Oryzias latipes: one gene and its partner. The protein of the gene in region 1 purifies or fractionates together with the protein of each later gene. This does not show direct contact. Links are inferred from orthologs where the notes say so. Each region holds a gene or a part of one and is shown in the gene's direction. Other genes may lie near its edges. The genes, in order: tdp1 and xrcc1.

Region 1 (4,282 bases):
CAGTGCGTGCTATAATTCACAAGAATCAATAAGAGTGAGCTCATATTGAAGCAAGTGTGTACTTCCAGAGCCATTTCAGAGCATCGGGGTTCAGCTGCAGCAGCACTCAGCCTCCATCAAGAGAAGAACAGCTGTATCACTGATGATGGAGAACAGCAGCTGCATGGAGCTGAGGTTGTGTTTACACCTGACCAGCTTTAGTAGAGGAGTAATGCATTGACTGGTTTCAGATGGATGTACAAACCTTTTCACAGCCAGTCACTTAAACATGGAGAGCTGGGCTTTTGACAGATAAATGGTTGTAAATTTACCTCAGCTTCTCTGTTCCTCCCATTCATTTTGCATGTAAACTTTTGCTTTTGTTAGGTTTGTTTCCTTTACAATATATTACCATATTTAAAAAAAAAAACAGAACTGCAGATTACAATGATATGAAACTAAATAACCATATTGAAATGTCCCCCTACCTTCCGGAGAGTCCTGTGACATCTTCCCAGTTTGGAGCAGTTCTGATCAGTGAACAGGGTCCATCAGAGCCCTGAAGACTAGACAGCAGAGGCATGTCACGGTCTTAAATGGGAAGATTCTGAGCATGCGTTGGAGGCAAGTCTCAAGCCCAGCCCCTTCGGCTACAGGCGCTCTCTGCATTATTGACTCAATGAAAACAAACAGTGCCTCACTTTTTCAATCGTATCAATTGCATTTATTTAAATGCCCAAATAGACTATTAGTACAGTAATTTTACTCATAAATCACGTCCTGTTTTAAAGGAAATAGTTTAAAAATGACAATTCAAAGATCAAATTACGTCCCTGAGAGTAAAAAAAAAAAACTAAAATAAACATATTACTGATAATCATAAAATTCTTTAATCAGACAGTCTCTCAGTGTTGCTTTCAAATTCAAAAGTTCACTCTTGGGGAATTTTTCATGTGGATATCTGAATAAAAAGTAAATATTTCTTGTAGGGCACTCATTTATTTAACTACTTATTAGTGTTTATTTTATTTTTCATAATTTATTTATTTTTACGATCAGAAACTACGGGGGGCGGAACTTCGTAATTCGCGAGTGTTTCTAGACGAAGGGGTTTGTGGGTGCAACTCAGTCACGCTGTTGTTTGTAGTGGATGTGCTGCAGAAAAGTTGTGATATCTATTCGCTGCATTAAATAGTCCCGCTGCTCTTTAACTGAATTGGGTAAAGCAAACACGACACGCATTTCAAAACGCTTCTTTAGTTCAACATACAACATTATTCGTTTTTTTTTATTAATCTATTTAACGCTAACAATGATTGCGCTTAATTTTGTAGCGTTATTTTTATTATCTTCGCTTTGTTTTCATGATATTCAGTTGATCTCTTGTGCAGGTTTGGGATGTTTGTACATTTATCAGACAGTCGGTTAACGTTTTAGCCCGTTTGCATGCATCAAAAATCTGATCATCATCTAGTTTCTGGAGTTATCTAACTAAAAAAGTGACAATGTTAGCAGAATAATATAAAATCGTGATTCACCACTCACATAAGATTTGTCCTTAATAAATCCGATTTCTTCCTGCATGATGTATTGGGTTTTCTTTTGTTCTCATGCGCGTGAGAATGTGGATTAAAAGATCTGTAACTGTGTTTGAAAGCATAAGTTTGTTTTAACTATGAGATGTTATAGTCCTATGTTTCTAAATACACTTTGGAAGAAATCTGATAAACACTGAAGTGACCAGTATTCAGATAAACAAAATGTGTGTAAACACATCCAGTCTGTTTATTGCAATTAATCAATATTAGATATTGATAGATATTGATTATTAATCAATATCTATCTATGTGGTCTTAAGTAAAACGGATGCATATTTTCTGTACTTTTTGTTGTAATATGAAGCCTAAAAAAACTAAATCATTTGCCAATAGCTTCCCTTCTTCCTCTTTCTGCTCTCTTTTCTTAGAGATGTCTCAGGACAGTCAACATGGCAAGTGGACCATCTCCAGTAGTGATGATGATGATGAGGAGGAAGATCTTCCTCTCTCTGGAACTACAACAACCCAGTCCCGTCTGCCAGCGGAATCCGGTGTCAGGTCCCCCTCTCCAGTCCAGGTGTCAGCTCCTGTGGAGGTAAAAGTAGAACCACTTTCTGCAGCAGCTCCACTCACACTGGGTTCTGAAGCAAGACGGTCGGCTGCAAAGAACCAGTTAAATCCGGTGAAGTGTGAGCGAAGCCCCTCGCTGGCGGGAAAGAGGAAGAGCGATGCCTCAGAGGGCACAGGCTGGGCCCTGTCGGACAGTGATGACGATGACAAAGATGTGAAGGACAACAGTCAGAGTCATTTGCCAAAGAAAGCACCTCCCAGCCCCAAAACAAAGAAACCAAAAGTGAAAGAAGAGCGTCCACCGAGCCCCCATGGACGACTCTACTATATCGACGAGCCGGAGGACTTCTTTGAATCCAACATTCCCTGTCTTAATGACACTTACAGGTTCTACCTCAACAAAGTCACAGGCTTGGACAAAAAGTACAACACGGGGGCGCTGCACATCAGGGGTGAGTTTGCATTTGTCTAGGATTAACTCCTCATCATTAGTAATACACATTCCATTACTGACGAGCTATTTATGGGAATTTTACGGGAATTTTTTTGTGTGCAGACATTCTCTCCCCCTTATTTGGAACCCTGAAAGAGTCGGTTCAGGTATGTCACTAGATTTATATCACAAATTTCCGCTCACTTCCACTGACTGAATTGTTTTCGATCAACTGGCCTTTAGGGAAAGACACTAAGAAACTGAAGTATCTTCTGTTTCAAGTGATCCTTTCTTTGTTTTTTTATAGTTTAACTACTGCTTTGACATTCCATGGATGGTTCAGCAATACCCACCGGAGTTTCGGTAAGTCTCACATCCACATTTTCATGACTCCAGTTGCTCTGCTGTTTCACAGCACTTCAGCTTCATGTCAAACAAAAGCAGGTTTTACTTGAGTGTAAGTAATCCAATAAAACACACGGGTAACTGTTGTTTGGTTTAAAGCTCAGTTTGTGTTTTCAGAGATCGTCCGGTTCTGATCGTACATGGAGATAAGAGGGAGGCGAAAGCACGGCTTCTCCAGCAGGCTCAAGCCTTTCCTCATGTTCGCTTCTGTCAGGTACGGGAAGCATTGACGCACAAAGCTGTTCTTTAACCCAAGGGCTGTCTCCAACTTCGAGGGCTGCATCCTCCAATGGCCGCGGCCTTCCCGGGCGATGTTGGCCGGGTCCTTCGTCGAGCGGGTGGGCCGGATGTTAACGGCTGTAAATTTGGACGAGTCTAGCCTCTGGATAATTCCAGCCGTTACATCAGCAAGTGTCCTGTCGCCTAGCAACCGTTAGTCACAAACAGGGAGGAGTAGTGAACCAGGCGTGGAGGTCAAAATTTTTCCTGGCTTATTTGATTCAACTTTTAATCTTGGAGGTGTAATTATGAAAAGGTTTCCAACTCCGGCTCCCTCTTCAAAGTCCGCCATTGTTGTCAGAAAATCTCCAGGTTCAGCCGCAATACCTCTTGGGATATGCACAGCATAAAAGGATACACCAGACCGATCCTAGAAATCGTTAAAAAAGAAGGCCGTATTTGTTGGCCGCATTTGAAGGAGTCGTTGAATTTGGATAGCACTTGTCGCGCCGCCGTGACGACGCCGACAAATGCAGGACGAATGCAGACCTCCAGTTTGGACACAGCCCAAATGGTTAGTTTCATTCCCCAACAGACCAGTTTCAGTACTTGTTCAATTCAGTAATAGTTTGAGGAAAACTGTTCCTACAGCAGAACCGCTGATTTTATTCCTCTTCTGTTTAAGATTCAATTATTATGATTTGAGTTGCTGTTTCTAAACAGGAAGTGGAATTCACATTTGACGCTCTTAAAATTTAAATGTATAATGTTTTCAGCTGCAGCTATAAAAACCCTTAAAATTATATAAATATTTATATTCTTTTTATAAGTTTGCATGTTTTGATCCGGTTATACCTACGTTGACTGATTAAAATGTGGTTTTAAGAGCTAATCAAATGGAATCTGTATTTCCTAAATGACTGCAGCAGATAATGTTTGTTCCATTAAATTCTTTGTCGACAGGCCAAACTGGACATCGCTTTTGGAACTCACCACACGTAAGTAAACCTCTGTTTTATTGACTTACATACTGTGTTAGTGTGTTTCTTATGGAGTTTTCTTTAAAATGTGCTTTAATAATCCAAATAAAATAGGCTTTAACATGCAACATTTTCTATCTGCATGACTTCTTGAGTGT
Region 2 (4,309 bases), on another chromosome or scaffold:
CAACAAACACACATATCTACAAATATGATAAATATTTCTGGCTGGCACTGAACCTTTACAATGTGTATTAATTATGTCTTTGTCATTCATTTACTTCTCTATTTACACATAAATACTTGTGTGTTTTTTTAAATTGCAGATTTTCATGTAGTTTGGTTGTAGACATAAGTGGTTATTTATTCATTTTTCATTCATTTATCTTCTAAACTCGTTTTTGTCCCTTTCGGGGTCACCAGTCACTCATGGGCGAGGTAGGCGGACTATACCCTGGACGTCACCAGTCTGACGCAGGGCAGCAGTTGTTTAGTTTTTATTTTATAATATTCTCTAAGTTTTAAGACTTTCTATTATGGAAAATTATTGTAAAAAGTGTGAAAGTTGGAAAGAAGGCAGATTTTATTTTTCTCTGATAGGATTTTTCATACATTAAGAAAAACTTGATGTAAAGAAAAAACACGAACCAAAAAAGAAGTAAATAACCGATAAAAGACTATTGTCTTATCATAACGACAAATCAACATAAATTGAAACTGCACATAGATGTATTTGCTACTTAAAAACAACATATTTATTGATTAATATTGCTGTTGGTTTTGTTTTGCTGGGGTGTCAGATATATAAATAAAGTCAATGACAGGCATTATGAATTAAATTACAAATTGGAGTTAACATGATTAAAATTATGCATAAATCAGAACTCATTTAGTCAGGTAATCTAAATTACCTGAAGACAGTTTGGAAAAAAGCAGTTTGGGAAAAAAATAATAAAAAAGAAGCTTTATAATGCATGTTTGGGTAACAAACCTTCTCATTACTTGTGTAGAAAGATTATGTGAACAGAGCTAGAATATTCTAACTTAAAAATAACTTTGCTTCTTAATATAAAAATATATTTTTTTACTACTGTAAAATAGTAATATCTTTATATGTGTAAATATGAGAAAGTGGAAGAATGGTCTTGCCACAAGGATGCCAAAGATATTGAAATTATTATTATTATTACTATTATCATCATCATTGTTGATATTATTATTGTTTTATTATTTCATTATCAATATTATTATTCATATGACCCATCATTATTAAAATTATTACTGAAATTACTATTAGTAAAAGTTCAGCTATTTGTCATTTAACCTATGCTCCCTCCGTCCACTTGGTGGCGACACAACGCTATTGTTCCATTAGTTTATCGTAAAAGAAGAAAACAAAGGCGCCTATTGGATGGTAATCTACCCCCGGAAGTTGCGTTGGATGAAGACATTTGCTCTCTTTTGGTGGGAAAATGAGCAACAATAAGACACGTTTACCTTAAAATAACCATTCCTACCGTGGTCTTTGTGATGTTTAATATAACGTCAAGTTAACGGGTACGTGTCAATCATGAAGCTACATATTAATTCACGTTTGCCTTTCAGTTTGTTAAAACGATCAGGCTGTTCACGAAAAAGTTCAGTTTTCTCAGTCTGCTAGCTTTTTCTCGCTAGTTAGTTTGTTGCTCCTGTCAAACATCAGTAATTAACACTTTTCTATGCATTATTTAGTGTCACTCCGAAAAGCTGAACGTTTGTGTTTTCTCGCCAGGTTAAAACAGTCACAACAGCGCCCGGTTGGCACACTTAGTGACAGATAGATTATTGGATTAAAAACACTAGTAGCAGGAATACCAAAATGCCAGAAATCAAACTCAAACACGTCGTATCCTGCACTTCCGAGGACAATGTAAGTTGTTTGCTGTGTTTTTTTTTTTTTTAGTGTAGCAGTTAGTTGTGGCTTCATGGCTTTATTAAACCCACTCTTCGTTGTGATATAACAGACTCACAAAGCGGACAACCTGCTGAGCTCAGACACCTACAGAAAGTGGAAAGCAGCGAGAGCCGGGGAGAAGCAGACATCAGTCATTCTGCAGGTTTGATTTAGCTTTCACACTCAAGTTAATGCATTTCAGTTACGGATGTGAGCTTAGTTTGTTAAAACAAAAAACAAAACTGGCTGATTTGAATGATTTTCCACTTCATTCCATAGATAAAATGATTGAAATACAGGCATAAGTTGGATGTTTTTAAAAAATTGACTTATTTTATTCCTTCTCTTATTCCTTTTCTCAGTTTGAGAAAGAGGAGCAGGTGCACAGTATCGATATTGGAAATGAAGGATCCGCTTTTGTTGAGGTGCTGGTGGCAAACTCTTCAGCCCCTAAAACTCAGGACTACGAGGTATTTCTTCAAAAAATACCCCCCCCCCCCCATCTTTACTCTTTGTTACTTAACAGGATGTGCCCTAATTTCAAAAACTCTTTCAGGTTCTTCTCGTCACATCTTCCTTCATGTCTCCAACGGAAAGTCGTAACGGATCTAACCTGAACCGCGTGCGTTTCTTTGGACCCAACCAGCTGCAGAAGAGCACAGCTCAGGAGAAATGGGACAGAGTCAAAATTGTTTGCAGCCAGCCATACAACAAGGTGAGGATTTTGACCATTTATATAAACAAATATCTCCATTTTTAGAATCGGATTTGGCTTATTTCAAACAATCTAAACCAAAAATACACGAAAAAAAAAGAAAAACCAATATCTATCTATACATAGATTTAGCAAACTTTGGATGATTAATTGCGGCTCGAGGTACATTTCCATATCATCTGTTTTGTTCCTTGTCGTTAATAAAAGTGTCATTTTGATCAATTGGATTTATTGAAGTGCTTTGGGGGAGTAAAGTTATCATATGTTTAGTGCACACAGCACACATGGTTCATGCTGTGGTTCACCTTCAGCCAACTGAAATGAACCTGCCAGTCTTACAGTACATGACACATTAAATCCATTAAATGTGAGGTTTGTCTCAAAGAGGTTAATTATTTGCTTGACAAGCAGTGGGAAGAAAAAGCTAATGTTGATATTTCCTTCTAAATTGACTCAAAGTTCTTGTGTACGTAACTAAGAACAAAAATAGCAAAAGTGTTGGGATAAACATCTATAACTTAAAGAAAATATACGCAACTTACCGGGCTGTCAAACAAAATACAGTTTGTGGAAACAGTAAAGTCTTCATGTTTGGTGTTGAAGCTTCATGACTAACCGTTAACCGAAATGAAAGCTTTTTTTTTGTGCCTTACAGAACATAGCGTATGGAATCGCCTTTGTTAAGTTCCACTCTCCACCTGACAAAAATGAGCCTCCAAGTTCCTCCCCTGTAAGTAAACCACTGTTAACTTTTTTTTTTCTATTTTATTTTCCATTTAAAAGTTAGGAAACACTAAATTAGCCTTATTAACACACGCTCTCATAAAGAAAATGGTAAGATCTCAAGTGTTAGTGGGTGCACCTCAGCACTCATGCACTTCATCACATCTAAGTTTTATAAATGTATGTAAATCTTGCAAAAACTGAAACTATTCTGATTTCAATAAACGCAATGTGATGTTATTGGATTAGTGTCATTTGTTAGTCTTTTTTTTTAAAACTATTTTAGATGTAACCCCTTAACTGCACACTTAACACACTTTTCTCTCTTGTTTAAACTCTTAAAATTCAAACATTGATTAAAGCATTAATCCATTGTTAGAGAATAAAAACATAGATATGCTAGTGATAGAGGATGTATGTAAATGTGGCAAACTGAATGCTTTCTGTGTAGGATAGACAGTATGGAAGAGGTTGATTTGGGAATACAGCCAATTAGGATGCAGAAGACAATGTGCTGTTAAAAAAACAAATAAAAAAGGATACAAACTGCATTAAAACATCAGGTGAACTGCAATATAGTGAGGAACCACTGCACAAGGTGGTAGATGCAATGTGTTTGGTTTTTTAATTACAAATCTGGAGGGAATCCAGAAAAACCAACATGGGAGTGTTGTCAAACAACTTTGGAACTTTTTGTCACAAATTGTGAGTCCCACCATCCTATTTCTTCTGTTTCCTTCGTTGTGTTTCCCGCTCAGAAAGTGACAAAGCTGGGACAGTTCAGAATAAAGGATGAGTCGCCTTCATCTGGGTCCAGTCTGCAACCCGGAAGTCTCTTCTTTAACCGAGAAAATGCAAACAAGTCGAGCACTTCACCTAAAGGTATTGAAATGAACTAAATGGCAGAATCCTTTTCAGATCTACTTGAAAAAATCAGCCAACAAGAAGCTCTGTAACTTAATTAATGTGGGCCGCATTTACACTGCATGGTTGAGGTGACCCAATTCCGATTTTTTTTCCTCTCATGTGGCACAGATCGGACATGACCGGTGAACTTGTAAGCAGGAAAAAACCGCATGGATTCCGTTTTTTCAGATCGGATTCAGACCTCATTTATATGTAGAA

Evidence for each region.
Region 2: the proteins of tdp1 (region 1) and xrcc1 purify together in Homo sapiens (affinity purification with mass spectrometry; 4 studies listed by BioGRID and IntAct, with this or other methods). This does not show direct contact. The link is inferred for Oryzias latipes from reciprocal best matches to the Homo sapiens genes TDP1 and XRCC1.

The regions. Positions count from the first base shown.
Region 1 is NC_019861.2:31,357,649-31,361,930, forward strand, and holds the start of tdp1 (tyrosyl-DNA phosphodiesterase 1), read left to right. Parts: upstream 1-1,277; 5' UTR 1,278-1,291; coding exon 1,292-1,370; intron 1,371-1,945; coding exon 1,946-2,539; intron 2,540-2,643; coding exon 2,644-2,687; intron 2,688-2,827; coding exon 2,828-2,883; intron 2,884-3,042; coding exon 3,043-3,139; intron 3,140-4,107; coding exon 4,108-4,142; intron 4,143-4,282. Other genes in the region: synaptotagmin-5-like, read right to left, coding at 468-489. UniProt on the Homo sapiens protein: DNA repair enzyme that can remove a variety of covalent adducts from DNA through hydrolysis of a 3'-phosphodiester bond, giving rise to DNA with a free 3' phosphate.
Region 2 is NC_019874.2:25,075,646-25,079,954, forward strand, and holds the start of xrcc1 (DNA repair protein XRCC1), read left to right. Parts: upstream 1-1,224; 5' UTR 1,225-1,370; intron 1,371-1,584; 5' UTR 1,585-1,671; coding exon 1,672-1,722; intron 1,723-1,816; coding exon 1,817-1,909; intron 1,910-2,108; coding exon 2,109-2,216; intron 2,217-2,302; coding exon 2,303-2,461; intron 2,462-3,116; coding exon 3,117-3,191; intron 3,192-3,942; coding exon 3,943-4,066; intron 4,067-4,309. UniProt on the Homo sapiens protein: Scaffold protein involved in DNA single-strand break repair by mediating the assembly of DNA break repair protein complexes. Negatively regulates ADP-ribosyltransferase activity of PARP1 during base-excision repair in order to prevent excessive PARP1 activity.